4 linked regions of the Pelodiscus sinensis genome follow. The protein of the gene in region 3 purifies or fractionates together with the protein of the main gene of each other region. This does not show direct contact. Links are inferred from orthologs where the notes say so. Each region holds a gene or a part of one and is shown on either strand. Other genes may lie near its edges.

The links.
Region 1: the proteins of EEF1A1 (region 3) and EEF1G purify together in Homo sapiens (affinity purification with mass spectrometry; 5 studies listed by BioGRID and IntAct, counting the BioPlex papers as one, with this or other methods). This does not show direct contact. The link is inferred for Pelodiscus sinensis from reciprocal best matches to the Homo sapiens genes EEF1A1 and EEF1G.
Region 2: the proteins of EEF1A1 (region 3) and EEF1B2 purify together in Homo sapiens (affinity purification with mass spectrometry; 3 studies listed by BioGRID and IntAct, counting the BioPlex papers as one, with this or other methods). This does not show direct contact. The link is inferred for Pelodiscus sinensis from reciprocal best matches to the Homo sapiens genes EEF1A1 and EEF1B2.
Region 4: the proteins of EEF1A1 (region 3) and EEF2 fractionate together in Homo sapiens (co-fractionation; 3 studies listed by BioGRID). This does not show direct contact. The link is inferred for Pelodiscus sinensis from reciprocal best matches to the Homo sapiens genes EEF1A1 and EEF2.

The regions. Positions count from the first base shown.
Region 1 is NC_134721.1:36,815,219-36,823,076, forward strand, and holds the start of EEF1G (elongation factor 1-gamma), read left to right. Parts: upstream 1-4,850; 5' UTR 4,851-4,991; coding exon 4,992-5,006; intron 5,007-6,105; coding exon 6,106-6,264; intron 6,265-6,955; coding exon 6,956-7,019; intron 7,020-7,477; coding exon 7,478-7,620; intron 7,621-7,858. Other genes in the region: POLR2G (DNA-directed RNA polymerase II subunit RPB7), read left to right, coding at 254-413, 2,012-2,062, 2,154-2,219, 2,478-2,549, 2,816-2,849, 3,086-3,099. UniProt on the Homo sapiens protein: Probably plays a role in anchoring the complex to other cellular components.
Region 2 is NC_134717.1:75,105,072-75,112,262, reverse strand, and holds the start of EEF1B2 (elongation factor 1-beta), read right to left. Parts: upstream 3,011-7,191; 5' UTR 2,931-3,010; coding exon 2,851-2,930; intron 2,563-2,850; coding exon 2,440-2,562; intron 158-2,439; coding exon 34-157; intron 1-33. UniProt on the Homo sapiens protein: Catalytic subunit of the guanine nucleotide exchange factor (GEF) (eEF1B subcomplex) of the eukaryotic elongation factor 1 complex (eEF1).
Region 3 is NC_134713.1:54,087,867-54,094,918, forward strand, and holds the start of EEF1A1 (elongation factor 1-alpha 1), read right to left. Parts: upstream 3,018-7,052; 5' UTR 2,989-3,017; intron 2,288-2,988; 5' UTR 2,243-2,287; coding exon 2,099-2,242; intron 1,377-2,098; coding exon 1,197-1,376; intron 1,119-1,196; coding exon 822-1,118; intron 602-821; coding exon 451-601; intron 301-450; coding exon 44-300; intron 1-43. UniProt on the Homo sapiens protein: Translation elongation factor that catalyzes the GTP-dependent binding of aminoacyl-tRNA (aa-tRNA) to the A-site of ribosomes during the elongation phase of protein synthesis.
Region 4 is NC_134729.1:22,015,431-22,023,207, reverse strand, and holds the start of EEF2 (elongation factor 2), read left to right. Parts: upstream 1-4,776; 5' UTR 4,777-4,929; coding exon 4,930-4,932; intron 4,933-6,274; coding exon 6,275-6,489; intron 6,490-7,076; coding exon 7,077-7,258; intron 7,259-7,355; coding exon 7,356-7,567; intron 7,568-7,777. UniProt on the Homo sapiens protein: Catalyzes the GTP-dependent ribosomal translocation step during translation elongation.

The sequences.
Region 1 (7,858 bases), on a different chromosome or scaffold from region 3:
TGAGATGGAGGTAACAAGGCTGGGGGAGATGGGAATGTATTTGGAGGGTTTGGGAAGCAGTGGGGTGGTGGGTTGGAGATCCAGGACAGGTGCAGATTCATGGAAGGAAGGGGATAGGGTTGCTGTTTTGGAGGGACCGGAAGAACCTAGCCCCTGGTGGTGAATGGGGGAAGTCCCCTCTATTGCAGCTCATTCTTTGTCCTGTTCTCTGCCTGTGAATTCTCTAACAGAGCTGGTTCCCACTCTCCCCCAGATATGGCTTTGTCATTGCAGTCACTACCATAGACAACATTGGGGCAGGTGTCATCCAGCCGGGTCGTGGCTTCGTGCTCTACCCTGTCAAGTACAAGGCCATTGTCTTCCGGCCCTTCAAGGGAGAGGTGGTGGATGCTGTGGTGACACAGGTCAACAAGGTAAGCCATTGCTGCAGGGGTGGGGTGCATTTGTATGAATTTGTGGAGTATATAATGAGAGGACCATTATATCATCTCCTCTGCCCTCCTGTATAACACAGGCCAGAGAAGTCACCCAGACACCCCTGCATTGAATCCAATTACTTGAGTCCTGTGGTAACTCAAAAGTTGAGAGCCCCGGGCAGAGAACAGGAGAGACCAAACAGTTACCAGTGCCCCTCCGAGGACCCAGAGTGGCAGGGAATTGACTTGGCAAGATATGCCCAGATGATTTGAGCAAGTGATTTACATGCGCAGGTCTGTAAGGGAAAGCAAGATGCTCCAAAGGTCCATGTCAGTCTGAGTTGGAGGGGAAAATTCCTTCCTGACTCGTCTGGCAATTTGAGCATGGTGCCCAAGCCAGGCATTTAGGAAGAGGGTTCTCTGGACCATCTCAGAGTCCTGGCCCACTATGCCCAGTGTTCCATTTCCAGCAGTGGCCAGTCTCTGCTGTTTCAGAGGAAAGTGCAGTGGGGAACCCAGCCTAACACAGATTGTGCATTTGGAGGAAACTATTCCTTCCTGATTTCTGCTGAAGCTCTGAAGCATGAGATCAGATTATAGCCATTGTCATAACGCTGAGCTACAATGGTTGTGTCAATGCAAACAATCCTGTTCTCTTCAAGGCCGGTGAAGGAAAGGGTGATTCATGTAGCTAAACCTGTGGGTGGATCCCTAGCTTGGGACTATGCGGTGTCCTTGTACCAAGGATGTAGGAACCCCAAAGCAGCTCTGGGAGGAATGTGCGAAGGCTGTTCTGTCTGACTAGTATCTGAGTCCCAGGGTGTGAGCAGTGGCTGTCTTGGGGCTGGAGAGGGTGTAGCTATTGATGAGGGAACAGGATAACCTCCATGTGTACAGGCAGTCCCTGAGTTACGCGGATCCGACTTATGTCAGATCCGCACTTACGAATGGGGCTTTCTCGCCCCGGAGCTCGCAGGCAGCGGGACCGGCCAGAGCGCAGCGGTCCTGCCACCTCGACCTCCGGGGTGAGAAAAGCTGCTCCGGGTGCCCCTGGTCTGCTGGGGACCGTCTCCAGCAGACCAGGGACACCGGGAGCAAAGCCGCAGTGGCGGTGGGGTCCCGCGCCTCTGAGGCTTTGCCAGAGCAAAGCCTCAGAGGCACGGGACCCCGCCACCGCTGCGGCTTTGCTCCCCATGTCCCTGGTCTGCTGGGGGGGAGAGAGGGCGCAGCTAGTGCCCCCTCCCCCCCAGCAGACCAGGCTTTTGTTGTGGACCCTGGGGTAGAGCAGCTGGGGTGCTGCCGGGTTGGTCCTGCAGGGACCTACCTGGCAGCCCAGCTGTTCTGTCCCAGGCTCAAGATTCAGCTGCTGTTGAAACTGATCAGTGGCTGATTCCAGGAAGCTGGGGGCAGAGCAATTCTGCCTCCAGCTTCCTGTAGTCAGCCCCTGGTCAGTTTCAGCAGCAGCGGCTGAATCTGGAGCCAGTTCCGACTTGCATACAAATTCAACTTAAGAACAAACCTATAGTTCCTATCTTGTACGTAACCCAGGGACTGCCTGTATATGCTAATGGAATCACTGCTTCTGCTTCCTATAGGTTGGACTCTTCACCGAAATTGGGCCCATGTCCTGTTTCATATCTCGACACGTAAGCACAGTGCTGGGGAGAGGCAGCTTTGGGAGCAGGTAGGGTGATATATGGAGAGCTCCTTTTTCACTGACTCTTGTTCTCTTCTCAGTCCATTCCCTCCGAGATGGAATTTGACCCAAACTCCAACCCTCCCTGCTACAAGACAGTGGATGAGGTGAGTCCTGGGTAGATGGTGTTTTGAGGGGAGCTTGTGGTGTAATGGGGGTGCGTGGAGAGGGAGAGAGACTCAGCTGGGGACAAGGGAGATGCTGGAACAGGCTCATGGGTGGTGGGGAGAATTTTACTTCCTCCATATCAGACACGCTTTATTTGCTGGAGTTATGTGCAACTCTGTGTTTAGCCTTTTTGGCCTCTGCCTGAGAAAAGGAGGAAGTTTGTAAATGGGTCTCACTCTAGTGCTGCATGTCTCTAGGACATCGTGATCCAGCAGGATGATGAGATCCGGCTGAAAATCGTGGGGACCAGAGTGGATAAGAATGACATTGTGAGTCTTTGGTGCCTCTTTCAAATATGGTGCATGCACGCGTGTAGATCCACAGCTCTCAGCATGGAACTGGGGGCAGGAACTCATGGCTAATCCAGCCCTAGCCTCTCCCAGCAAGGAAGAGGGAGCAGAGCAAGAGGGCTAGGTCATTCATTCCCAGCCTCTTCCAGCAGGGGGTGCTAAAATACTGGGGATGAGCAGCCCTGCTCAGGTAGAGGCAACTCACCGTCTCTGTTTCAACACTAATCTCTGTGTTTGGTTTGCAGTTTGCAATCGGTTCCCTTATGGATGATTATCTGGGTAAGTCTCCTCTCTAGGGTCGGGAGGGAGTAACTAGATGGGCTGAGCTGGCTGAGTTCACATTGGGTTTGGGTGGCGTGAGTCTCTGCTGTAGAGTGCTTGACATGTGTCCTGGGAACAGTGTGGGCATTTCCCCTCTGTGATGGGCTAATGGTGTGGAGCAGGGGATCAACAGCACCTCCTGTGGGTCCGGGCTCTGGCTGCTCTTGATCTCAACCTTCTCTCTTCTCACTCAGGTCTTGTGAGCTGAAATATAAAACCATCCCTCTTGCTGCATGTCGGGATTCCAACTGGGAAACAATTGAGCTGTACCCAGGCCAGCTTCTGTACCTACTGCTGTATTTATAGGGTACAGATCCACTCTCCTCCACCCAGCAGCTGGGAGTTGGGGGCAGAGGGTGGCTGACAGACCAGTACTTTCTTCTTCACCTCCAATAAAAGTTCATTTGTTTTAATAAAGCAGCATTTTGTCTTTCACCCCTCAAAGCAGGGCCGGCCAGCTGCCTTGGCTGGGGTTTGTGGCTTCCTTTCCTTAGCACAGAGGGGGCTGTCCTGCTCACCAGCACTCTGGCTGCGTGATGCCTCAGCCTTACATGTGGGTAATAAGGGAGGCACAATTGTGTGGCTGTTTAGTTTATGCCATGTGTTGTATAGCTGCCAGTCTGCCTTTCCCAGAGAGCCTTGCTGCTGTTACTGGCTGTAGTCTGGCAATGGTCTGGAGCTGTATTCACACAGGCAGTTCATCCCCCCCCCCCCCCCCCCAGCTGACACTCCTAAGGCTACATCTGCACCACACCCCAGATCCTCACTGGGAGGTCAAACCACTGGCAGTAGATTTAGGGGGTCTAATAAAGACCTGCCAAATGGACCACAGATCATTCTCTAGTTGTCATGTTGCTCTGCCCCCCTGCCCCCCCCCACACTCCCATGAGAAGAGTAAGGGAAGTCCACAGGAGAGTTTCTCCCATCAACCCTGTGTGACATAGAGCCTTCAGTAACTTAAGGGATGTTGACTCCAACTATGTTATTGATGTAGCTGGAGTTGCTCTAGCTTGAGGTGACCTTCTGCTGCAGAGTAGATGTAGTCTAAAAGGCAAGATAGGGATAGCTACAGGCAAATGATAGACTAGCACTGGGGAGGGAGGCTGGGCTATTCTAATCCAGCAATGCAGGAATACTGGGTTGTGCACCCCTGCCTTTAGCTAGTCTGTGAGCAGTGTTCCCTGTAAGGTGAGTGCTTGGGCAGCTCCCCCAGGGGAGGTTCAAATGCTGCTTGGCTGTGTTTCCACTGGTGGTGTTCATCTGCACATGCCTTGGTGCATGTAAAAAAAGTTATTCCACACATGGATGGAGTTCTACATGCTGCTCGCATCAACCTATCCTAAAGAGCATGCTGGGTGCCCTTTGATGACGGACTTGGCTGCAGGAGTGGGGGGGTCTGCAGGAAAGAACAGAGAGAGAGTTTGGGGCAAGCTCTGCTCCAGGGAGCTACTGGCCAAGACCTGCACCTCTCCAGCTATGCCCTCTACAGCCTCTACCTCTCTCAGCCCCTGCCAGGTGGCACCCTGGGCCTCACTCCTGAAGAACTGGTGCAGGAGCTGACTCCAGGTTGTGGTGTCTGACCTGGAAGGGAGCAAGCTACCTTAGGAGGTGTGGGGAGGGCAGACACCAGGTGCAAGTTAAGGGCAGCTGGAGCTGGGGGAGCAACCCCAGGGCCCAAAGCAAGTACCACAGAGCCAGCAGCCCTGTCCCAGCAGTCCTGCCCCTCCCTCCCCGCCAGCTGGCGGCCACGTGCCCTTTCCCACTTCATGCAGAAGCGCGGCAGCGAGCCAAGCAGGGGAGGGAGGAATTAAGAGGGTAAGTTAGCGCTCAGAGGGAGGGGCCGGGGAGCGCCCACGTGGTTGGAGTTTCAAATCCACGTCCGGCCCCTCCCATTACGCAGCTCTCTGTGCACTTGGCTCCCAGAGACTCCGCCCCTCCTGTCGCGTGTATAAAGCCCCGCCCCGTGGTGACGCCCTATAAAGGCGCCGAGTAGTGTTGTGTCGCGCTGCGACTGGGCGTGCGGCGTCTTGCTTTGTGGCTCGTCTCCTTTTCCTTTACGGCCGTCCCGCCCCGCGCTCCTCCCTTTCTCTGCTCGCTAAGATGGCGGCGGCCGGGGTAAGTGTGTCGCTTCTGCGTGTCCCTGCTCTCCCTGGGCAATCCGTCCCCATCCGTTCCTGGCGGGCTGGCCCGGGCCTGGGGGAAGGGCAGGGCTGGGGTGCGGGTGGGCTCGTTTACCTGTGGCTGCTATTGCTGGGGTGCGCCCCTGGGGACTGGGTGGGGAGGGGGCTGACCCGCTGAAGGAGAGGTGGGGCTGGAGAGGAGCGAGCGGTTCAGGGAGGCGGCCCTAGGGGCCGGGGGGGTTAACGCGAGAGGAGAAGCTGTCGGGGTGTGTGAGAAGGCTCCTGCTGCTATGGGGCAGTTGCTAGGGGGTGCGAGTTTGTGCCTCCCCAACGACTCCCTACTATAGGGGGGTGTTTTTGCCTTGGAGTCCTTTTTTTTTGAGGTATTCGGGGCTGCCCTATAATTTAGGTATTGCTGGGGGGGTATAGTGCTCGCGGGGGAGAGGAGCCTTTCTGAGTGTGCTGGGGTACCTGGTGTTGACCATTGACTTGGATTTTCTTGTCCTTGTGTGCCTCTCTAGTGGAGAACTGGCCAAGGGAGGGTATTGGCTTCTGAGTTTGGTCAGTGGGATGGGAGCAATGGATGGGATTGGCTCAGCATGAGTCTGTAAAGAGAGGCATGGCTCTTTGGGTGCATGGCAAAGCTAGCAGTGAAAATGACAGGCTAGACATGTTGCACGGAGTGCTTGGGTCTGTGGGGGTAGAGGTCTTTGTGCATGTGTGGGGAATGCTGAAGCAAAGGGGGTTGTCTGATCTGGGGTGGTGATAATTTCAGGGGGAGTATTGGGAGGTAGGATAGTGGCTGTGAGAAGGTGCTGTCCCTGAACTGGTGAGGGACCTGGCAGGGTAGATGAAGGGAGCTACTGTCTGGTGGATGGGGGGTGGGGGGTGGGGGAATACCTGGGAGGTGATGGTAGCTGAAGAGGTAAAGGAGGTGTCTGGTTGGTATGAAGGCTGGTAAAGGTTGGTATGAAGGTATAAAGGAGGTAAAGGTTGGTATGAAGGCTGGTAAAATCAGGGTGCTGTCAGTTGAGTTTAAGGAGGTGACTTGTTCCTGTGTTTCTCATACTTGATTCATTTTCTGTGTCCTACAGACTCTCTACACCTATCCTGAGAACTGGCGGGCATTTAAAGCCCTCATTGCTGCCCAGTACAGCGGGGCTAAGATCAAGGTCCTTTCCACTCCACCCCAGTTCCACTTTGGGCAAACCAACAAGACCCCTGAGTTCCTGAAGAAATTCCCTGTTGGGAAGGTGAGTAACAGTGTTACATGTGCCTCCTTATGCTGAGTAAGAAGCAGGCTTGGGCAGTGGGTATTGCTGGATAGTGCCAGACTTCCAGTAACGAATCATTCATGTCAGAGAAACAGATGTCCCATGGAGTCACTGTCCTCTCCTGTAGTCTCCATGTGAGGGATATATGGTGGCTATGGGGTGAGGGGCGCACCTGGTCTGGTAGCAGGCAGATCAGCTTCAAACAATTTTGAATTGCATTTCGTGGTGTGGAAGATGTTGGTAGCTAGAGTGTGGTAGTCGCTCATGTCACCTTGCCCCTTGGGCAGGACACAAGTGACAGCTGTGCATGAACTTGGGAAGTAAGCTTAGAAGGGGCAAACTCTGAGTGATTCCTCTCCAAGGCATGCTTCCCATGTAGCCTGCCTCTTTGTTGCTAGCCATTCCAGCCTTCAGGTGGGCAAGAATGGCTGTCTAATGAGGCCATGAATGCCTTCTCTCCCCTCCTCCCGACTGTCCATGATGGATGTCAGTTGGAACAAGATGCCCTTGGGGTGACCAGTGTGTCAGATGAGGGAGGGAAGGGTCTGGGAACTGGCTGTGCTCTGATAGCTGGTAGAATTAGCCAGGGTAGCTGGAGTGAGGGGGTGCTGCACAGGCTGGTGAAAGCCTTGGTTGCTCTGTAAGGGGTGACATGGTGTTTGCTTTTTAGGTTCCTGCCTTTGAAGGGGCTGATGGATTCTGTGTGTTTGAGAGTAACGCCATCGCACACTATGGTAATGGCATGGGGGCAGCCCCCTACACCTGGGTGGGGAATGAAGGAATGTGGTGGGGGAGAGCATACCCTGTCCAGCTTGCTCCTAGCAGTAAAGCTAGAGTGTTCTTGCCCCATCCAGCTGCTCCTTCCTGTGCTGCTGGACTAATGGCACTGGCCAGCCCCTTCCTATATCCAGTGCAACTGTAGTTGGATCAGTACTTGTGTATTTGCTTGCCCTGTGGTACCCTTGGGGACTGGGCTTGGCTCTCCCCGCTGCTGGCTCTGCTAGGGCAGATCTGCTTTCTGTCCACTGATGGCAACCACACTCAGAGTGGGTAATGCTGGTGCTGCAGGGGATAGATGTTGGTCTGTGGTGGTGGGGGTGTAGGTTTGGGGTGGGAAGAGCTGGGCATGTCTTGGCTGGATGGGATTGGTGTCCTTGCCCATGCTGGTAACTAGCTGGCTCTCCTGTTCCAGTGAGTAATGATGAGCTGCGGGGATCCACCAAGGAGACAGCAGCCCAGATCATCCAGTGGGTGAGCTTTGCTGACAGTGACATCGTCCCTCCTGCCAGCACCTGGGTCTTCCCTACGCTGGGCATCATGCACTACAACAAGCAGGTCAGTGGCATGAACAGGTGGCACCTGATTTATTCATCAAGAGAAGAAGTTGGCTCCTTCCCATCCCTGTGTGTGTGTGGAAGAAGGGTAGTGGGAGCCCCTGGTAGCAAGCAGCACTATCAGGAGCAGAACCTACCATCCACTGCGGGAGACTCAAAGGTTTAGAAGTTGTCCATGAGGCAGGATCAGGACTCTAGAGGTATGCGTCACTAGCTATGTGATGGTAGCACTCGGTGAC
Region 2 (7,191 bases), on a different chromosome or scaffold from region 3:
CCAGACCATTTGTTGCTTAAGATTAGCCAGTACCTCCTCATCCTCTGATCCGAAGAGATCAATGTCATCATCATCTTTGCTATCTGTGGCTGCAGCTGTAGCGTCTTCAACATCAGCAGGACCATATTTCCCCAAAGCTTTCTTTACTCCTGGCAAACTAAAACAAGTGGCAAAATATTACACTCCTAATCTCACACACAAAGATTTAAGATCAATGAACCTCCAGTAATGATTATTTGTGATAGCAATCAAGTATACTACAATTTCAAAAGTGAGAGAAGCCAGAACAGTCCCAAAAGTGCACTCAACATAATTAAATTGACAATTATAATGGTGAATCCCGCATGCATAGGCAGCTAAATGGCATACTACTTTTGCTCTTGCTAGCAGAATTTCCGACAATATAGCACCTAACAGCAACCACTTGTCTGGAATTTTGTTCATGGGTGATTTGGTAAGTTTTGCTTTTTACAACATGCAGAAAAGAGACAATAGATCAGAGAAAGATTAGTGGTTCTTGAAAATTAACACTATATTGCATCATTAAATAAATCTTCCACTTTCCACCCAAATGATTTCTTGAAAACCTTTGTTTTCAGTGGAGGATCAATTAGTGGCTTGGTAGGTACAGTGGTAAGGCTAGTTTTGTAACCAGGTAATTAATTGATTTTGGTGTTTTAGCTATGGAGTTGTTTGAGAATGAGCTTTTTTAGTGCCTAACATCAACACAACCTGGCTTGTGTTGTTTTAGAACGAATGGAACCTGTTAGGAACTAAATACAGGAAGCCCCAACTCTGAACACATTTTCCTATAGAAAGCTATAAAATGGTTTTAGGTTCCCAGGCTATCCCACAAAAACCTACTTAACCCATAATATAGCTGAAATACTATATTCACAAAATATACTAGTAATCCATATCTGCACTGTGTGCAGATTTTTTCCATCCATGTGTAGTATTTTATGTGCACTGAGGCATGTGCAAATCTACACCAACAAACAGATGCTCTGCTAATCAGCTCAGCATCATTTGAATTTCTCCTAAGCAGACACCCAACCGCACAGGAAACAATGCTAGTAATTAAACAATCAGAATAATAGAATTGACCAAGAAATAGTTTATTTAACCTTAATGCTGGTGTTTATGGAAAGGCAGATTTAATTAGAGGATGAGGAAGATGGAAATTCTGAAGGGGACTTCTGGACATCCTCCACCCATCTCACCTCAGGGGTTGCACCCAAAGCTGGAGGACTCTGGAGCAGGGAGAGCCACACAGCCAACAGGAGAGAAGTGGTGCCTTGAAAGGAAAACTGTCACTTCTATAGCCACTGATTGCATGGCCACCTACTGTGCCTCCAGTGCTGTCCCATGTCCACACCACACACACCTCTTGCTTACTTCCACAGCTGCAAATAGGCATTTGCTTTTATGTTTGTAATTGAGTCTGGACTTCAGAAGTGCAAACAGCTCCCTCTATTGCTTGAAAATATATATATTTCAGCCTTTCTACTGCCTCCTCCTTTAGCTACCTTAGTGTATTTAACTATGACTTTCTTTGCACCTTCATTATTCTGAAGGTATCTACCGAAGACAAAATGATGTTATCTTAAGCTTTTATGTCTATTTGCATTTTATTAGATTGCTATTTCTGATAAACTGCAGTGACAGAACACTAGCCTCCATGATTATGTTCCTCTATATTAACCTGTACTTTGAATTTTGCTAGACTGGTACTAGTTAGATGTTGTCAGAATTTGTAGCGAGATTAATGAAATAAGCTTATAACTTTTGTCCAGTTTCAAGACAAACCATCACAAGTGGTATACAGTTAGCAGAAGCATCAAAAAAGCCAAAGGTCAGGAGACTGAACAATTCAACTCTACAGGAGGCTCCCCCAAAACAGGGTTGAAGCACAATGGTGAGGCAGTGTGGAAAGTGCACACACTGAAGCTGCCTATGGTGTACCTTTTCTAGAGAGGACTTCAGTCTCCATGGCTGTCAATACGGCAACTTTCATGAGCACTAAATTCACTAAAAGAGAAAAGAATACATTTGCTTTCACATTTCCAGGTGCTTCTGCAGGTCACTATTTAATTTACTTTAAGATTTCAGGATGATCATGTGAATGAAAGGTCTCCCAACATGAGAGTTGGTAATTTTGTTTGCTAGAATTCCTATTTCAAGATACACATGGGGCGGGGAGTGAGAAGCTGGTGTACATATTGTAGGGGGAATCTGTACTGGGCCATGATCCGGTCGGGGTATAAGCGTCACCTATTTACCATTGTGGGCTCAGCTGTGTGCTGGGCCAGGAACAGCCCGTGGGTTCAAAGTCCCTGTCTACAGAACTGCTGGCTACAAGCCCATGGAGACACGATGACGCTCGGCGATTAGCCCCTCACGTATCAGTGAGCGCTCCGCGGGAGCCGCTGGAGGTACCTGGCCTTTTGCCGCTCATAGGACTGGATGTGCTTGTACCAGCGCAGCGCGTGGAACAGGTCAGCCGGGGGTGGCGCGGACAAGGCCTCGAAAACCGCCACGTCCGCCTGCGAGGGCACGTGCCTGCAGAAAACACGAGTCAGCGCCGATCCCAGGCACGACACGCTGCGCAACACACGCCGCAGGCTTCCCGCCCGCCCCGGGGCGCAGGGAACCCGCCAGGCGGCTCGTGCATCACCGCCCTGGGCCCAACGGACTCAACCGCTGTTGGGGGGGGGGGGGTGTCCGAGCGCGCGCAGGCCACGCGGCACGAGGCCGACCTGCAGGCCACGCGCCAGATCCCAGCAGGCCGGGCTCGCGGGGGAGGGGCCGTTCTGCGGCAGCCGCCTCACGGCTCCGCGCGCCGCTCACCCCTCGATGTAGCTTTTGTCAGCGAGGAAGTCGTTGAGGAGCCGGAGGCCGGCAGAGGAGCGGAGGTCCCCGAAGCCCATGGCGGCGAGAGTACCGTCGTCGTCACAGCCCTCAGACGCAAGACCCGACCGGCACCCACCGCAGAAAGAGAGAGAGGCAGCCCTCCGCTCCCGTTTTATAGAGAGTGCGTGGTATCCCTCCGCCGCACGGGCCTCTGACGTGACATTATCCCTCCGCGGGAACGCACCTGGAAATAATCCCCCGCCACACCACTTAGCACAGGAGCAGGGCGGATGGGGAGGGACACTCGGAGGACGGAGATAGCGAACGGCTAATAATGAGGATGTTCGGGGGGTTCCGCCTCGGCTACAACGCGAAGATTTTCGAAAATCACCAGAACTGAGCGGGGGACTGACGGAAGTTACCGATCAGCGGCACTGGTGACGGAAATGGCCGAAGGAGCCTTCGGGGAGTAACGGAAGTTGCCGAGGCCCCTACTGACGGAAATGGCCGATGGAATCTCCGGGGAGTGACGGAAGTTGCCGAGGCCCCTACTGACGGAAATGGCCGATGGAATCTCCGGGGAGTGACGGAAGTTGCCGAGGCCCCTACTGACGGAAATGGCCGATGGAATCTCCGGGGAGTGACGGAAGTTGCCGAAGCGGCCGCCATATTAGCGGGGCGAGAGCGCTCAGGCGCAGCGTCTGCCTTCAGAAGACCGAATAGGTGCGGCGGGGGCGGCCGGCTCCTCCAGCGCACGGAGGTAACGGGGCCCGGGGCCTTGCTGCGGCGCTGGGCGGGGTCAGCCGCTCCCTGCCGCGGCGGGTTCGTTGCTTTCCGCCTGTCCCGGGGTGCCCTTGACCGGCGCGGGGGCGCGCGCGTCCCCCTGTGCCCCGCCCCGCCCGGCAGCGGCGGCCCGGGTCTCCCTGGCTGGGGGAGCCCGGGTGCCCTGAGGCGGGGCCCGGCCCTAGGGCCTGGGGCGTTCGCAGGCCTGCCCAGGCCGCTCGCTCGCTGTCGGTGCTGCGGGCTCCGGGGCCCGCGCTGCGGCACGTACTGGGGCAGTGCCCCTGGTGGCACAGGCCGGCGTGCGACGGCTTCCTTCAAACCCGCCAGCGCCCCAGCAGCCTGCAGCCCTGCGTTCGCACCGTTCGTAACTCTCCATTGGTACAAACCCGCCAGCGCCCCAGCAGCCTGCAGCCCTGCGTTCGCACCGTGCGTAACTCTCCATTAGTACAAACCCGCCAGCGCCCCAGCAGCCTGCAGCCCTGCGTTCGCACCGTTCGTAACTCTCCATTAGTACAAACCCGCCAGTGCCCCAGCAGCCTGCAGCCCTGCGTTCGCACCGTTCGTAACTCTCCATTGGTACAAACCCGCCAGTGCCCCAGCAGCCTGCAGCCCTGCGTTCGCACCGTGCGTAACTCTCCATTAGTACAAACCCGCCAGCGCCCCAGCAGCCTGCAGCCCTGCGTTCGCACCGTTCGTAACTCTCCATTAGTACAAACCCGCCAGCGCCCCAGCAGCCTGCAGCCCTGCGTTCGCACCGTTCGTAACTCTCCATTGGTACAAACCCGCCAGTGCCCCAGCAGCCTGCAGCCCTGCGTTCGCACCGTGCGTAACTCTCCATTAGTACAAACCCGCCAGCGCCCCAGCAGCCTGCAGCCCTGCGTTCGCACCGTGCGTAACTCTCCATTGGTACAAACCCGCCAGTGCCCCAGCAGCCTGCAGCCCTGCGTTCGCACCGTGCGTAACTCTCCATTAGTACAAACCCGCCAGCGCCCCAGCAGCCTGCAGCCCTGCGTTCGCACCGTTCGTAACTCTCCATTAGTACAAACCCGCCAGCGCCCCAGCAGCCTGCAGCCCTGCGTTCGCACCGTTCGTAACTCTCCATTGGTACAAACCCGCCAGTGCCCCAGCAGCCTGCAGCCCTGCGTTCGCACCGTTCGTAACTCTCCATTAGTACAAACCCGCCAGCGCCCCAGCAGCCTGCAGCCCTGCGTTCGCACCGTTCGTAACTCTCCATTAGTACAAACCCGCCAGCGCCCCAGCAGCCTGCAGCCCTGCGTTCGCACCGTTCGTAACTCTCCATTAGTACAAACCCGCCAGCGCCCCAGCAGCCTGCAGCCCTGCGTTCGCACCGTTCGTAACTCTCCATTAGTACAAACCCGCCAGTGCCCCAGCAGCCTGCAGCCCTGCGTTCGCACCGTGCGTAACTCTCCATTAGTACAAACCCGCCAGCGCCCCAGCAGCCTGCAGCCCTGCGTTCGCACCGTTCGTAACTCTCCATTGGTACAAACCCGCCAGTGCCCCAGCAGCCTGCAGCCCTGCGTTCGCACCGTGCGTAACTCTCCATTAGTACAAACCCGCCAGTGCCCCAGCAGCCTGCAGCCCTGCGTTCGCACCGTGCGTAACTCTCCATTAGTACAAACCCGCCAGTGCCCCAGCAGCCTGCAGCCCTGCGTTCGCACCGTTCGTAACTCTCCATTAGTACAAACCCGCCAGTGCCCCAGCAGCCTGCAGCCCTGCGTTCGCACCGTGCGTAACTCTCCATTAGTACAAACCCGCCAGCGCCCCAGCAGCCTGCAGCCCTGCGTTCGCACCGTGCGTAACTCTCCATTAGTACAAACCCGCCAGTGCCCCAGCAGCCTGCAGCCCTGCGTTCGCACCGTTCGTAACTCTCCATTGGTACAAACCCGCCAGCGCCCCAGCAGCCTGCAGCCCTGCGTTCGCACCGTTCGTAACTCTCCATTAGTACAAACCCGCCAGCGCCCCAGCAGCCTGCAGCCCTGCGTTCGCACCGTTCGTAACTCTCCATTGGTACAAACCCGCCAGCGCCCCAGCAGCCTGCAGCCCTGCGTTCGCACCGTTCGTAACTCTCCATTAGTACAAACCCGCCAGTGCCCCAGCAGCCTGCAGCCCTGCGTTCGCACCGTTCGTAACTCTCCATTGGTACAAACCCGCCAGTGCCCCAGCAGCCTGCAGCCCTGCGTTCGCACCGTGCGTAACTCTCCATTGGTACAAACCCGCCAGTGCCCCAGCAGCCTGCAGCCCTGCGTTCGCACCGTTCGTAACTCTCCATTAGTACAAACCCGCCAGTGCCCCAGCAGCCTGCAGCCCTGCGTTCGCACCGTTCGTAACTCTCCATTGGTACAAACCCGCCAGTGCCCCAGCAGCCTGCAGCCCTGCGTTCGCACCGTGCGTAACTCTCCATTGGTACAAACCCGCCAGTGCCCCAGCAGCCTGCAGCCCTGCGTTCGCACCGTGCGTAACTCTCCATTGGTACAAACCCGCCAGCGCCCCAGCAGCCTGCAGCCCTGCGTTCGCACCGTTCGTAACTCTCCATTGGTACAAACCCGCCAGTGCCCCAGCAGCCTGCAGCCCTGCGTTCGCACCGTGCGTAACTCTCCATTAGTACAAACCCGCCAGCGCCCCAGCAGCCTGCAGCCCTGCGTTCGCACCGTGCGTAACTCTCCATTAGTACAAACCCGCCAGCGCCCCAGCAGCCTGCAGCCCTGCGTTCGCACCGTGCGTAACTCTCCATTAGTACAAACCCGCCAGCGCCCCAGCAGCCTGCAGCCCTGCGTTCGCACCGTGCGTAACTCTCCATTAGTACAAACCCGCCAGCGCCCCAGCAGCCTGCAGCCCTGCGTTCGCACCGTTCGTAACTCTCCATTAGTACAAACCCGCCAGTGCCCCAGCAGCCTGCAGCCCTGCGTTCGCACCGTTCGTAACTCTCCATTAGTACAAACCCGCCAGCGCCCCAGCAGCCTGCAGCCCTGCGTTCGCACCGTTCGTAACTCTCCATTAGTACAAACCCGCCAGCGCCCCAGCAGCCTGCAGCCCTGCGTTCGCACCGTTCGTAACTCTCCATTAGTACAAACCCGCCAGCGCCCCAGCAGCCTGCAGCCCTGCGTTCGCACCGTTCGTAACTCTCCATTGGTACAAACCCGCCAGCGCCCCAGCAGCCTGCAGCCCTGCGTTCGCACCGTGCGTAACTCTCCATTAGTACAAACCCGCCAGTGCCCCAGCAGCCTGCAGCCCTGCGTTCGCACCGTTCGTAACTCTCCATTGGTACAAACCCGCCAGCGCCCCAGCAGCCTGCAGCCCTGCGTTCGCACCGTTCGTAACTCTCCATTAGTACAAACCCGCCAGTGCCCCAGCAGCCTGCAGCCCTGCGTTCGCACCGTTCGTAACTCTCCATTAGTACAAACCCGCCAGCGCCCCAGCAGCCTGCAGCCCTGCGTTCGCACCGTTCGTAACTCTCCATTAGTACAAACCCGCCAGCGCCCCAGCAGCCTGCAGCCCTGCGTTCGCACCGTTCGTAACTCTCCATTGGTACAAACC
Region 3 (7,052 bases):
ATAAACTGAATTCCAAAGACCTTCAAATGGTTCCAAACAGTACCTGTGCAGTGAAGCCAGCCGCTTCCATTGGGGGGTCGTTCTTGCTGTCACCAGCAACATTACCACGGCGAACATCTTTCACAGACACGTTCTTGACATTGAAACCAACATTGTCACCAGGCAGAGCTTCGCTCAAAGCTTCATGATGCATCTCAACAGATTTTACTTCAGTTGTTACGTTGACAGGAGCAAATGTTACCACCATGCCTGGTTTCAGGATACCAGTTTCCACACGACCAACTGGTACAGTACCAATACCTGAAAGAAAAAACCCTCTAGGATGTTTATTTCTTACAACTTAAACTTATACAAAGATTGACAAATGTTACCATTTCTGCAGTTTAAGGGTTGGAATGTCACTAGCAAACTGACAAATTTACAGAACTAGTCTTCACACAAAATACTAACCGCCAATTTTGTAGACATCTTGCAGAGGCAGGCGCAGAGGCTTGTCAGTTGGACGAGTTGGTGGCAGTATGCTATCCAAAGCTTCTAGCAGGGTAGTTCCACTTGCATTGCCATCCTTACGGGTAACCTTCCATCCCTTAAACCAGGGCATCTAAACAAAAAGCAGCACAAACATAACTTGTGTCCTTCCTATTCACATATCTGAATATTTACGAGTATTTCTTCTTTGTATCTTAAGTTGTGAAACATTGAAACTTGCCTTGATCTGACAAGTTTAACAATTTAATCTCCATTCAAATGCATATTATTGTGACAATTCACTCTGGCAGTCTTTTCAATTCAATTGATATACAAAATAAATGCAAACTTACATTAGAGCTAGGCTCCAACATGTTGTCCCCGTTCCAACCAGAAATTGGTACAAAAGCTACAGTGTCTGGATTATAGCCAATCTTCTTAATATAAGTGCTGACTTCTTTGACAATTTCTTCATATCTCTTCTGGCTATATGGTGGCTCAGTGGAATCCATCTTGTTCACACCAACAATCAGCTGTTTTACCCCCAGCGTGTAAGCCAGAAGGGCATGTTCACGAGTCTGCCCATTCTTGGAGATACCAGCTTCAAACTCACCAACACCAGCAGCAACAATAAGGACAGCACAGTCAGCCTTTGGAGAAGAGGATAATTAGTTTTTTACATGGACCACAAATAGATAACAAACCCAACTGAATTCACATTTACATACTTGTGAGGTGCCAGTAATCATGTTCTTGATGAAGTCCCTGTGTCCAGGAGCATCAATAATGGTGACATAGTATTTGCTGGTTTCAAATTTCCACAAAGAAATATCAATTGTGATGCCTCGCTCCCGTTCAGCCTTCAGCTTGTCCAAAACCCAGGCATATTTGAAGGAACCTTTGCCCATCTACAGGTGTTTAAAAAAGTGTGTTAGTACATCTTGCACTATTTTATAGCAGTTTAAATTATTTCCAATGCTAGTGGGAACATCTCAAAGTAGTAAAGAGCTTCCATTGCAGCTAGTTTTCTGTAATGCTAAGAGCACTTTGGCTTGAATACATTTGGCATCACTGGTGAGAAATACCATCTGTTTTCTGGTATTTGACCTGACACCACATTGGCCCTCAATCTCTTAATTATATTTAATACATCTCTTAAAGTTAGACCAAGCAGAGCCAAGGCTGTATCAAGTGTCCACTATAAGCTCTTGTTTTCATAGTACTGTAATCTCTTCCACAGCTAGAGTATGTACTATTTACCCTGGGGCAATTTTTGGCTAGGGTAATCTTGTCACTCAAGTTTGAGATGCAGTCTGTTGTAATGCTTTTCATTGGTGCTCTTTGTGGTACAAGAGCCATGTATTGCTCAGCCTTTAAAAAACCTAGATTTAACAGTTGCTGATACAGAGCAGCTTAGTGTTGTCTAATTGAAACCCCTGCCAGAGGCTGGGAACTCTGAAAATCCCTGCTGTACTTAGGTCAGGTCTTTTCTCCCAGTCCGGACGGATGGATTTATCTTTACAGTCTGCAGCAGTTTAAAAGAGGTGCTATTTCACCAACTGTGGCCTGGAGCAACCACACCCAGCTGCTGAGCCTCCATTCTGCACTGCAAGCAAGCTAGTGGCGGTACCTCCGCGGCTTCCTTCTCGAACTTCTCGATGGTTCGCTTGTCGATGCCCCCGCACTTGTAGATGAGGTGCCCGGTGGTGGTGGACTTGCCGGAGTCGACATGGCCGATCACGACGATGTTGATGTGGGTTTTCTCCTTGCCCATGTTGGGTGGTTCGCGGCGGCCGCTCTCGCGTTACAAGGGTAACTCCTAGGCAGGGAAAAGGCGGCAGGAATGAGCCCGGGCCCGAGCGCCGCTAACGGGGCGGCGCCCGGCGCAGGGCGTGGCGGCCGCGACTAGGCCCAGGCGGCACTCGAGGGCCGCGGCTCCGCCCACCCCGCGAGGGAGGGGGCACACAAGGCGAGAAACGCTTCCCTCCCACCGCGAGCGAAAGAGCGGCCATGCGGCCTGGCGAGCGCCGGCCGGCCCGGCTCTTTGTGTCACTGACTCACTCCGCCCGGACCGCCGCGTCCTCCATTTTGTGGCGCGTGTGCGGGAGACGCGGCCATTTTCGCTGAAAGGGGCGGCGAGGAATGGGAGCGGCCCCGCACTAGGGAGCGCGACCCCGCTCCCACCCCCCGCACGTCTGGCCGGCCCACACCGCCCGGCAGATGGGGAGCCCTCCCCCCCCCTCCCGCGCCGCGAAGGGGATTCCCCAGTCCGGGTTCCATACGCTACCCACCGGGGGCAGCGCGTGGCCACGTCGCCATTTTGTGAACCCCCCCCCGCCCACAGAAGGGCCCCCATCGTCTCGCGGCTCCCTTGCCTATCGCCAGCCCCAGCACGCGCCGCAGCTTCCCCGCTCAAGGCTGCATTCAACCACCATGCGCCTCGCGCTCGATTGTTCCAGCCACATAGGGCGGGCCTACCCCTCCCCCCACCGAGGCCTGCTCCACGCGGCCGCCTCTCACCTGCTAAGCGTCGGCAAACCCGTGGCGAAAAAGACCGACAATGTGAGCCGCTGCGCTTATATATCCTGTGCGAGGGCGGAGCCTCCGGGACACGTCACCGTTCCCAGCGTTCCACTCGCTCCTCCTTCCCACCGCCGCTGGCGTCGGGCTGGGCAGGGAGCCGGGACAAATATCTCTGCGCGCTGCGAGACAGGGGGCGCTGCCAGCCGCAGCCCCGCTGGGTGTCTCCGCTCGGAATTTGGTGATGACCCCTCCCGCGCGCCCTGAATCGCGGCAGCCCCTCCCCCCTCTCTGAGCGTGACCTGCTCCTACTCAGACACGGTCACCAGGGCAGGGCAGTCGGGGGGAAGGAATCTCCTGGCCTGTGTCCCATCCCCCTGCGCTGCCCCCCAGACCCTGCCCATGGGCCTGTCCCGGGACAGCAGCCCGCGCAGTGCTACCCGCCACGCACCGTCCCTCGGCACTCGCCTCCTCCAGCTGCTCCCCGTGCCCCGCAGCCCGTCTCTTTCTCACACAAGCTCCCAGGCGCCCAGTCCTCTTGTCTAGTCACCATAGCTACTTGCTTTCCCCTTCAGACGTTCAAGCTCTCCTACCCACCCTGGGTATGTGCAGCCTCGCCTTCATCTCCCGCTTTCCTTATGTTCCACCGACTGCCCCTTTCCATCCCATTCATTATTCCTGATCCCCAGAGATCATGACGCTTCCCTCCGTGTTAAAATCACCTTTTCCGCCACCTGTGCTACTCTATCCTTATATATCTGCTGAAAACACCATACTACTTTAGTCCCCTACCCCCACCCAATGCACCCGTGTTCCCTTTAAACTGAGCACTTGGGGAGCTGCATATGAAATTTAAATACCATCCAGCTGATCAGCACAGCGCCCACAGCCTCCAACAGCTTGCAGCATGTGTTTCTTTTGGAGATTCATGTCTGCACATGCCATGGTGCACATAAAATTTATTCTGCATCAACAGAACTTGGTCCTGTAAGAGGTACTATCTGTTAGGTCTACTATCCTGGGCCCAACACTGCTACAACAGCTTTTTATAAAAAGGACAACTTAAGGTTCCACTATTAATTGTTTCTCTGGATTAAGTGTGCTTACGTTAGGGCTTGTCAGCATTTTTAAATTAATTTGAATTAAAGGAAGGTGTGTGTGAATTTGAAACCTGAGTAAATCAATGCATGGACATTCTTACCCCAGAATAAGTGTTCCTTGCTTTTGGTTAGTGCATAAATTAAGCTAAACTGGGACTTCAGAAATTCAAGGATTCACCTGTTGACTAACTCTACCAAAATACCCATTTTATGAAGTGGATTTTACCCATGAAAGCTCATGATATATTTGTTAGTCTCTAAAATGCCACAGGACTGCTTATTGTTTTTGAAGTTACAGACTAACACCATTACTCTTCCAAAGAGAGACTCTCTTCCAAAATAGTTATTTCTGTACAATTCCAGGTGTATACAAGCTCTTACAAATTAAAAGATTATTTTTCTCAGTCTTCCTCGTTCAAAGTCAAGCTGGGATTTTCTTATGCATCGCCATTAGTAATAAGATTCTGCGTTACATATATTTTGTGGTGCTGCATGCATGCTATTCTCTCCTGTGGGGTTCCATAGATGAATTTAGCTGGACCCTCTGAATAAAAACAACTGTTTGATTCCTTCTCTGTGACAAAGGCACTTATTTGCACAAATATCACAAATTTGCAGTGCTATCTGCAGCAAAGATTTAATTTGCTCACTAGAATAAACAGATATCACTGAATACTCATGAGGTCTGCTCCCTATATTTATGTGTGTTGTCATTTTTGAATAGACACTCAGTAGGCTACGTCTAGACTGGCATGATTTTCCGCAAATGCTTTTAACGGAAACATTTTAAAAACATTTGCGGAAAAGAGCGTCTATATTGGCACGGACACTTTTCTGCAAAAGCACTTTTTGTGGAAAAGCGTCCGTGCGAAACTAGACATGGTTTTGCGCAAGAAAACCCCGATCGCCATTTTCACGATCAGGGCTTTTTTGCGCAAAACAATATTGCGTTGTCTACACTGTCCCTCTTGTGCAAAAGCATTTACGCAACAGGGCTTTTGCCCTAACGGGAGCAGCATAGTATTTCCGCAAGAACACTGACAATCTTACATGAGATCGTCAGTGTTCTTGCGGAAATGCAAGCAGCCGGTGTAGACAGCTGGCAAGTTTTTCCACAAAAGCAGGAAGTCTAGACGCAGCCATTAGCGTAAAACTTTGCTTTAATATGGTTGTGAAAGCTGTTCAAGAGTGTTCTTATTACCTGGGGAATCTGTGATGCACTTCACAGGACATTGAATTTTGAGACTGATGTACATCATATTATTAGGGTTCCCAGCCCGCGAAACTAAAGCAGATTAGAAATTAGCAGAGCACATGTTGAAATAAAGGTGCAGCTTCAATACCACCACCTTTCCTGTCATTGTCATTTAGCAAATGGATATTTGAGATTTTGGGTAATCAAAGGAATTTTCAATGTATTTGTAGATATTTAACCATATTTAGATAATAGTCTTCTATGTGACTATTGCATGGTATGTGTACATGAGTATATTTGAAGAATTACAGTTTAGTTTAATCATACTGAGGTGTTACAATGGATTATCACATATTACGGAGACATGCATTAGCAATCATTTTAACTGAATTTGACCACGGATTATGACGGGGGTATATTTTTCAATGTTTTATACTGAAATTCTTCATGTAATTAGTTTGGAGACATATTATTCAACACTCACATTGTTGGAGCTGTGCTTAGTTGTGCTTGGAATGACCACAATCCATAAAGACTGCTCTTGTCCACTCTATGGCTACATCTACACTGTAGCCTTCTTCTGCAAAAGCTTATGCAAACGAAGTGCAGAGTGGAATATCGCCATGCTTCATTTGCATAATCAATTAGCAGCCGCTTTTGCGCAAGAGGCTTTTGCGCAAAAAGGAGCTGTGTAGACGGCTCCTTTTTATGCAAAAACCCCTTCTTGTGCAAGAGCCGTTCTTCCTGAAAAAATGAGGAAGAATGGCTCTTGCGCAAAAGGGGGATTTTCCACAAAAAGGAGCCGTCTACGCCAAAAAAAGGAACCTCTTGCGCAAAAGCGGCTGCTAATTAATTATGCAAATGAAGCGCAGCAATATTCCACTCTGTGCTTCATTTGCATAAGCTTTTGCGGAAGAAGGCTACAGTGTAGATGTAGCCTATAAGATCATTTTCTAAACAAATCTGGGGAAGGGAATAAAAACTTGTATGGAGAAAGGATAGTCTTTGTTTTTCCTTTAGATATCCTTTGGTTGCCACCATCAGGTCAGTTCCACTAGGGCTTGAAATAGTGGAAGCTCTTGCATAAACAGCTATTTGCTTTTTAACTGATTTAAAAACGTAACCGGTTTGTCTAGGAGGTTATCACTTGCCAGCATTTTGGCTGCCTCTCCCCCCCACTACTATGATTCTCCTGCCCTCTGCCTTGGAGCTGCACCCCAGGATCTTCCTGCTTGCTGTGCGGGTGGGGGAGGGGGGAAAAGGCAGTGGTGATGTCAGGGTTTCCCTTTCTCTCCACCTCTGTACCACATCTCCACAGAGTGGGCAGGGTGAGGCCTCTGAGAAAGAGTATAGCAGGGCAGGGCCTCCAAGAAGGTAGGGGGGAAGGAGGTGGTGGCAAGTGTATTTGGGTTTAAGGTAGATCCTGGATTGACTTACATTGAAAAAGTAATCTTGTGCTTTAAAAAGTTGGAGACCACTGGTCTAGAGTCCATATTAAGCATGCAAATAAGTGACTATTTTCAAGAGTAGTCAGAGTTCTACATAGTGTCTCCTAGAAAGTCTACTCAATTTATTCCTACACCAGTCAAATAGGCAGTATTTTCTGAACACTCAGCCATCAGTCTTGGAGGTAAAAGAGCTCTCTGTCCAACCATTGGTTCCCCAATTCATCCAGTATCTGCAATAATTTTTAATTTGTTGCTGTAATTTCAAGTGATCTCTCAGTTCCACATGGCATAAAAAGAGTTTCTCAGCCTTCAGGCTGGTGG
Region 4 (7,777 bases), on a different chromosome or scaffold from region 3:
GCTGTTTATCCTGATTGAAAATAAATTAAAAAAGAGGGAATATATTTAGCCTCTAAACAAGGAGAGAGCGAGAGTCAGGTCGCCTGGATGCTGTCCTGGCACTGACTTACTGTGTGACCTTGGGCAAGTTACTTATGCTCTTTGCCTCAGTTTCTCCATCTGTGAAAATGGGACAAGGAGACTTCCCTATTGCACAGGGGCTTGACAGAACAACAGGTCGGTTTTTCCTCTCATACCAGATTGTCATGGCTGTAACTCCACAGCCTGCAAGTAAGAGATTTGTACCAGTCTGAGAGAAGAATTTGGTCTGATGTTTTTGAAGCACTCTGAGATCCTGTGAAGGAAGCTACATATAAGGCAGAGAAGTATAAAAAGGAGCAGAGTAGATCGCTGATATTTAGGCCAGGTCTACACTAGGGGCGCTACAGAGGCATAGTTACAGAGCTGCATTTATGGTGCTGCCACATGGTAGTGTAGACGATGCTACCTACAGCAATGGAAGGGGGTTTCTGTCTGTGTGGGAATCTGCCTCCCATGTTATAGTAGCTAGGTTAATGGAAAAATTCTACCATCAGCCTAACCACGTCTACATTGGGGGTTAGGTTGGCTTAATTGTTCACAACCCTAAGAACTGCAGCTATGCTGACCTAACTTAAGGATAGATCAGCCCTTACAGGTCATAAGGGTGTATTTTCAGAGTGATACTTTAGTTTTTCGATGCATTTTCAAGAGCCAGGGAACAAAATATTCAGACTAAGCTAACTGCAGATGGGTTAAATACCGAGCAAGGAAAGGTTCTGGAGTAGGAGTGCATTTCTCCCCTGGAGAGTGTGAATCCTCTGGCCATCCCTGATATAATGAGGCTTTAGGTAGTGGTGATGTGTATCTTTTAGAGGGGGCTGGGATGCATCTTGTGATACCTGAGCACAAAAATATTAGCAGGCAGCCTGAGCCAAGCAGGTGGACTGAGAGCTCAGTGACAGATTACTGCCCCACTCTCAAAGCACTCCACTCCTTGTGCACTTTAGGATCCTAATTTGATCCAGCTGACTTCATTGGTCCCGCCTCCCTCTAGTAGTGCTAGGGGAATTCTGCAATTGTTGCATTTGGAGCCACAGTAACATTGCAGAATTCTCCCAGGACTACCCCTCCCTCAGCTTCTCTTTTCATCTAACAACAACCTCCTCTCTGCGCCCTCATGCTATTTCACCGCTGACGTGAGAGCCTTCCCCCTGCAGCTTGTGTCCCTCTGCCAGGGCTGAATGCACTTTAAGGGGAACCTGCCTTTTTAAGGTTGCTGCAGTTAGTCTAACTGCCTCCCAGCCCATACACTGCAACTCAGGGAGTTTCCAGAGGCATTGAACATGCCCCAAAGGCTGTCCTCATGGCCACTATGCCAGAGAGGGCTTTCACCGTCAGGATAGCAGTTAGTCAGCTCTGGGACTCTCCTCTGCAGAGGGAACAGGGACAGGACCCCATCCCACCCCACCAGGAAGCATGGTGCACTTGCATTCTTTAGGGCCCTCTGTAAGATGCATTCATTCGCACTGTCATCTAATCCATGAGAGTAAGCCAACAATAGAGAGTCATGGGAGAAAAAGCCAGATCACCCCAGATAAAGGATCTGGGTAAAACCACAGCAATAGGGGGATTCTTAGAACTAGAGGAGATGTACAATCCTGTTTAATTGGTTAAACATCATGTTTAATTGGTTAACCAATTAAAGGGGGGGCGGGCTGGAACCCGGTTGGAGCAGCCTCTGCCTGTGACCACCCTGGGCCCGCTTCAGATGCTCTGTAGCATCACTCAAACCTTTTGCATCCCTAGTTAGAACCTAAGTTTTGTTTTACTGGTGCTTAGAAACCTAGGCGATGAGTCTCATGAAAACAGCTAGGTAGACAGATATCGCTGACCTGTACCTCCGCCTGCAAGGGACTGAGCATTCCGCCAAGGTGCGAGGACTTCTGCGGCGTGTGTTTCAAGGAGACATTTTTTAAAACCTCCCTTGTTGCTTTGCACATGCAGAAATCTCCACGCCTTCCCCTTACAAAGATCTGGATGAAGGTGAAGCCTGCAAGAACGAATGAGCACAACAGCACCCAAGTGCCAGCTTTTAGTGGAGGCTCTAAAAATAATGCTCTTCAGCACCCGATTCCTGCTCTCCCCTCCTGGCATGCCAGCAAACCCACAAGCACCTCTGGGAGCACTTGGCTTGCACCAGAACCTCCCATCCTGTAGGTGGAGCTGCTGCTCCTTCCTCTTGCGGCCAGTACATGCGCAGCACAGGATCCCTGCAGAGGTTTTCATTTCATTTCCCTTCCCCCTCCTCCTTTAATATTTAATGCAGGCCTTGGAGTCCTCCCAGCCTATGTCCCCTCCCCCTTGATATTTTGGCCATAAGCACAGAAATAATGGCCATAATGTAGCAGTAAAGATACAACAATCAAAATACAGAGGCCAAAAATAAAATAAATCGAGGGAGGTTAATGTCAGAAAGAAACACAAAGTGCTGAGTTATTCCAGCTTCTGTTTCATTGTAAGCATCTGGCAGCAGCTGCATTTGAATGCTCTAGCAAGGACCCCATAAGAGGCAATAGTTTCAAAGAGAAGAAGGTTCTGAGAGTGTCTGCCGGGTAAAAGCAACCCCCAGCAATTGGTGGTGGTATATTTTTCATGAATGCTTTTCTTTGATTTACAGAGAAGGAATGGACCACACTGGGTGAAAGCCTGAAAACCTTTACTCATGCAGCTGTTTCCTTAGGCTACAGAGAGATCACTCGCATAGGACTTCTTGCTTGTGTGGGAAATCGGAAGATCAGGCCTCAGTGTACAGCTGACCAAATGTTAACATGGTAAGCCAAAGGATACTGCTTCAACAAATGGTGTATGCTTTAAAAAACAACCCCCCCCCCCAACAAAACCCCAAACAACCACAACCCTTATCTGAATCTTGCTTTTAAGGACAAGATTATAGAGCCTGCACCAAGCAGAGCTGACTTGACTGAATGAGGGCTCCACCTGGAGTCCACCCATGTAGAGCTCATTTCAGGGTCCGGGCCAAAGCCAGAAATAATGTATCTGTTCAGCAGTTTGGAGCTGTTATGAATCACCTCCAGCTGCATTGCAATTTGGAAATTAATTAGACTAATACAATCCTAGGGCTGGAAGAGACCTCAGGAGGTCATTGAGTCCAGCCCCCTGCCCAAAACAGGGCCAACCCCAACTAAATCAACCCAGCCTGGGCTTTGTCAACCCAGGACTTAAGAATCTCCAAGGAGGGAGATTTCACTGCCTCCCTGCGTAACCCATTCCAGTGCTTCACCACTCTCCTAGTGAAATAGTTTTTCCTAATATCCAACCTAGACCTCCCCCACTGCAGCTTGGGGTCCTGATTCTCATCTGCTTTATGCTGAGGTAACGCAGGAGTCTTCCTCCATAAGTCCGTGGTTACAGCTGTAAAACTGATGAAACTGAGGAGTGTCCCAGTTTGTGTTGGGGGGAAGAGAGGTATTATTACCCACACCTTTAATGAATGGAAGTGAACTGGCCAAGGATTTCAAAAGCACATATTTTAATTGGCTTATTCCCTATTATATTCTTTTTTTATCATGTATTCATTTTAGTTTAGGAATCAAGATAGACCGCTTTACAACTTAGTCATAACTTTTCACAAAAATATACAGGGGATTCCCTTAGAACCCAATTCTCAGTTTAAATAAATGGCAAGATTCTCGTTAACTTCTGAAAGAGCTGTATCTGATACTTGGCTATAATTGATTATACAAGAGTTTGAACAATTACTGATGTAAGCAGGATCTGAAGGAATGCTACTGATGTACAAGAAGCCAGACTACTGCAGTCTCATCTAATCATCATGGTCAAGCCAGTCATAGAGATAACCTTAGGCAATGAATTTTGTTTTCATTTAGAAGATTATATTCATTTGCTTAATTCCATTAAGTGAGGTGTTAAACATCCAGGACTAGCTTGTATTCTTGATAAGGTTTTAAGCAGAGTCCAGTTTAATTCACCTACATAGTGGTTTTATTAACATATTTTACATGTATCCTATGAAATATGGTCCCTGTCCTGGAAGGGGATTTGAGTGAACAGCTTCTCATGCCTTCCTGGAATCTTTCTGATTTCAACAGAACACCCTTTGAGGGATCATATATAGGTGACCCATAACTAGAGGATCAGCTGCGGTGGATCTGTGTTCTAGCCCTGAACTTTAGCTCCAATTTGTGAGTGTGTCATGCAGATCAGAACTCTCCATTACTCCACCCTGCATTAAAAGTAATCACTCAAGAGTGGATGTGATTGGAGTTGATTTTGTCCACAGAACAGTAGTACTGTAGTTTAGAGACAAGTATTAAGGGACTCCCAGTTTGCCAGAAAACTTGCAAGTGTTATGTTTATGCATCAACCCCACAATGTCCTATACCACCCTTCCTAAGTCTTACCCTCGATTTATTCTTCATTTACTTGAAAGGTGTAGAGCTGGATTATTTCCTATTGTTGTGCTTTGAATCATAAACGGGTTACAGATTAAACAACCCAAGTCTTACCAGTTTTAGCATTTGTAGCAGCCCTAGGGTTTTGCCCTCTGGGATACTTGCGTAGACTGGGGCTCCTCCTATGTAGAGCCACGTGGTTGCAGGATGTCCCTTGCGCAGAGTTAAAGGCCCTCCGCACCATAGAACGCCCTTAAGGGTACCGGGGAGGGAGACAGACGCTCCGACGCATGCGCCTTGAGCTGCCCGCTGTCCCCGCCTCTAGGCCGGCTCCGGCCTATAAGAAGGCTGGGCGTTGACGTCAGCTTTCTCTTCCGCCCGCTCTGTCCCCGCCAACGAGACAGGGCTGCAGCCGCCGCCATTACCGGTCCCCTCCTTTTCTCCGCTCCCGGAGAATCCGCCGCCATCCGCAGCCATGGTGAGCTACCGGCACCTAGGGGCGGGCTGGGGGGCTACGGGAGGCCCTGACCTGGGCGGGCCACTGGATATGGCCGCCCCCTGGCCGATATGGACCAACGGGGAGGCCTGGGAAGGTGGGGGTGGGGCGGCTGCCGTGTGTGTGTGCGCGCGCGCGCGTGCGGGGGGGGAAATGTAACTAAGATCCCTAAGAACTACCTGTTTGCTGTGGGGCCTGGGAACGGGGGGGGGGGGCAGAAAGAGGGCCTGGGAACGGGGGGGGGGAGAAAGGGGGCCTGGGAACGGGGGGGGGGGAGAAAGGGGGTGTCTTCTCCCCCTCTTTGAATGGGGGGGGTGTTGCGCCATCCAGCACTATGGAGAATGGAGGGGGTGGGGAGCGTCTTCTCTAGGGGTGAATCCACCCCTGGATTGGGCTGCGTCCTCCTGTTAAAGGAAACCCCTTCCCTAGGGGAGCTCCCACAGTAGGGCCTCTGCCAGTCTCCCCCTTGGCGGGTGAACTGTGCCCTGTCTGAGCGACCTACCCACCCACCCCTTTTACAGGGTGTGGATGCGCCATCAGAGCACTAGGGAGGGGGTAGGAGGCTTTGAGGCCTGCTAGCTCGACAGAGCTTCCTTGCTGAGCAATGGGGGTATAGGTGTGAGCTTCTCTGCAGCTTGCCCTTGCTCTCCTAGCGATTGTGCTGGTTGCTCTGTGTTGATCAGCCTCTTTTCCACCCCCCAACAGACAGGCGAGCAGCTTCCTCACGTCTTGTGTTCAGGGGTTTGTTCATTAGGGGAGCCTTGAAGCTGTTGTGCAGCTAGGAATGATGTGGCGGGGTGGGGGAAGGCAAGTGCCAGGATGTGTTTCTAGTCTCTCCTCTGGTCAAAGGGAGGTACTGCAGCCTGGGGGAAGGGGGAAAATACTGCCTGCAATGAGGTAGTAGCATTCTTATGTAACTCTGCAGTCTAGAGTAAAATCCCAGCTTGGATGTCTGGGTTGTGAAGAATTGGGATCGGATGTGGCAGGTGTTCTGAGTTGCTTATTTTGTGCAGTATCATGATGGTTCTGTGCGGTAGGGCTAGGAGTACAGGTATGAAATGTGAGCAAAGGTGATCTTAAGACTTTTTATAGGAGACTTTCTTGACTGTAAGACCCTATTAGGCTGTGCAATTGACTCCCCAAAGTAAGTACTAAATGCCTGGTTGGAGGCATTCAATGAGATGAGAACGCACTGAAAAACTGCTTTCTCTGTGTTGTCCTGTCATGTTTACTGAGCAGTCTATTTCAGTGACACTAAACTTGGCACTGCCATGTCTGGATTCCTGGAAGAACTTGCCCCTGACTGTATAACCTTCTCTTCAAGGTGAACTTCACAGTAGACCAGATTCGGGCCATTATGGACAAAAAGGCCAATATCCGAAACATGTCTGTGATTGCCCATGTGGATCATGGCAAATCCACCTTGACTGACTCCTTGGTATGTAAAGCTGGTATCATTGCCTCTGCCCGTGCGGGTGAGACTCGTTTCACAGACACGAGAAAAGATGAGCAGGAAAGATGCATCACCATCAAGTCAACGTAAGTTCTGTCCCTTCAAGCACATTCTGGTGTTCAGTTGCTTCTGGTCTCATCACAGAACTGGGATTCAGGAACTTCTGGGTTGAAATAGTATTTTGGATTCTAAAATGGGGGAAGAAGAAACCATTTAGTGCTTTGGCTGCCTCAGAGGTTTACTTCCCTGCCCTATAGGGTATTGTGAGTGTTCTCTAAATGTGTTGAGAATTAAATAATGGCTTGTACATAGTCCATCAGTTAAAAACCTCGATCTTGGTAATCAAAACAGTGAACAAACGTCATACAATAGTAAGATTAGAACTTTTCCTGTTAACCTATGTTTTGTCTACTTCTGTAGACACTACCTGGAATTCCCAGAGCTGATTTGGTTAGTGATTTCTTTAGCCAGCAACTTAACTATCTCTAACTCTTATGTGGGGTGGGCCTATCTGCTACCAGAGTGAAATGCAGTGCCAAAAATACTCCTTTTTAATGCATTATCATGTAGCAGTTCTTTCAAATGCACAATGCTAAAGCAGTTACCATAGATTACAAGCGGATAGCTGATGTAGTAAAGTGAACCTTCTAGTCTTGTGTATCTTCTCTTTCAGAGCGATCTCTCTGTTCTATGAGCTGTCGGAAAATGACTTGGCCTTTATCAAGCAGAGCAAGGATGGATCTGGTTTCTTGATTAACTTGATTGACTCTCCTGGACACGTAGACTTCTCTTCAGAAGTCACAGCTGCTCTCCGTGTCACCGATGGTGCCCTGGTGGTTGTAGACTGTGTCTCTGGTGAGAACTGGTAGCAACATTTTGATGCATGTTGTGTAGAAGTAGCATGCTAGTCCTGCAGCAGTAATCTCCAAGATTCTCCCCCTGCCTTCTCCAGGTGTGTGTGTACAGACAGAAACTGTGCTGCGACAGGCCATTGCTGAGAGGATCAAGCCAGTCCTGATGATGAATAAGATGGACAGAGCACTGTTGGAGCTGCAGTTGGAACCAGAAGAGCTGTATCAGACTTTCCAGCGTATTGTGGAGAATGTCAATGTCATCATTTCCACCTATGGGGAAGGAGAGAGTGGCCCCATGGGAAACATCATGGTAAGAAGAATCTGGAAAGGTGTTCCAAGTGAGCAATTGGCCAAAGCTTGCCTTCAGGTTGTTAACCCTTTCAAAACATCTGTTAGCAGTGCTCCTCCTTCCTCTTTGAAGTAAGGAACAGTTGTCTTGTATTACTCTGGAGGCTATTGATATTGACGTAATGTTTACTATAATACAGTATGGGTTGGTATGTTGAGAAAATTGTTATTG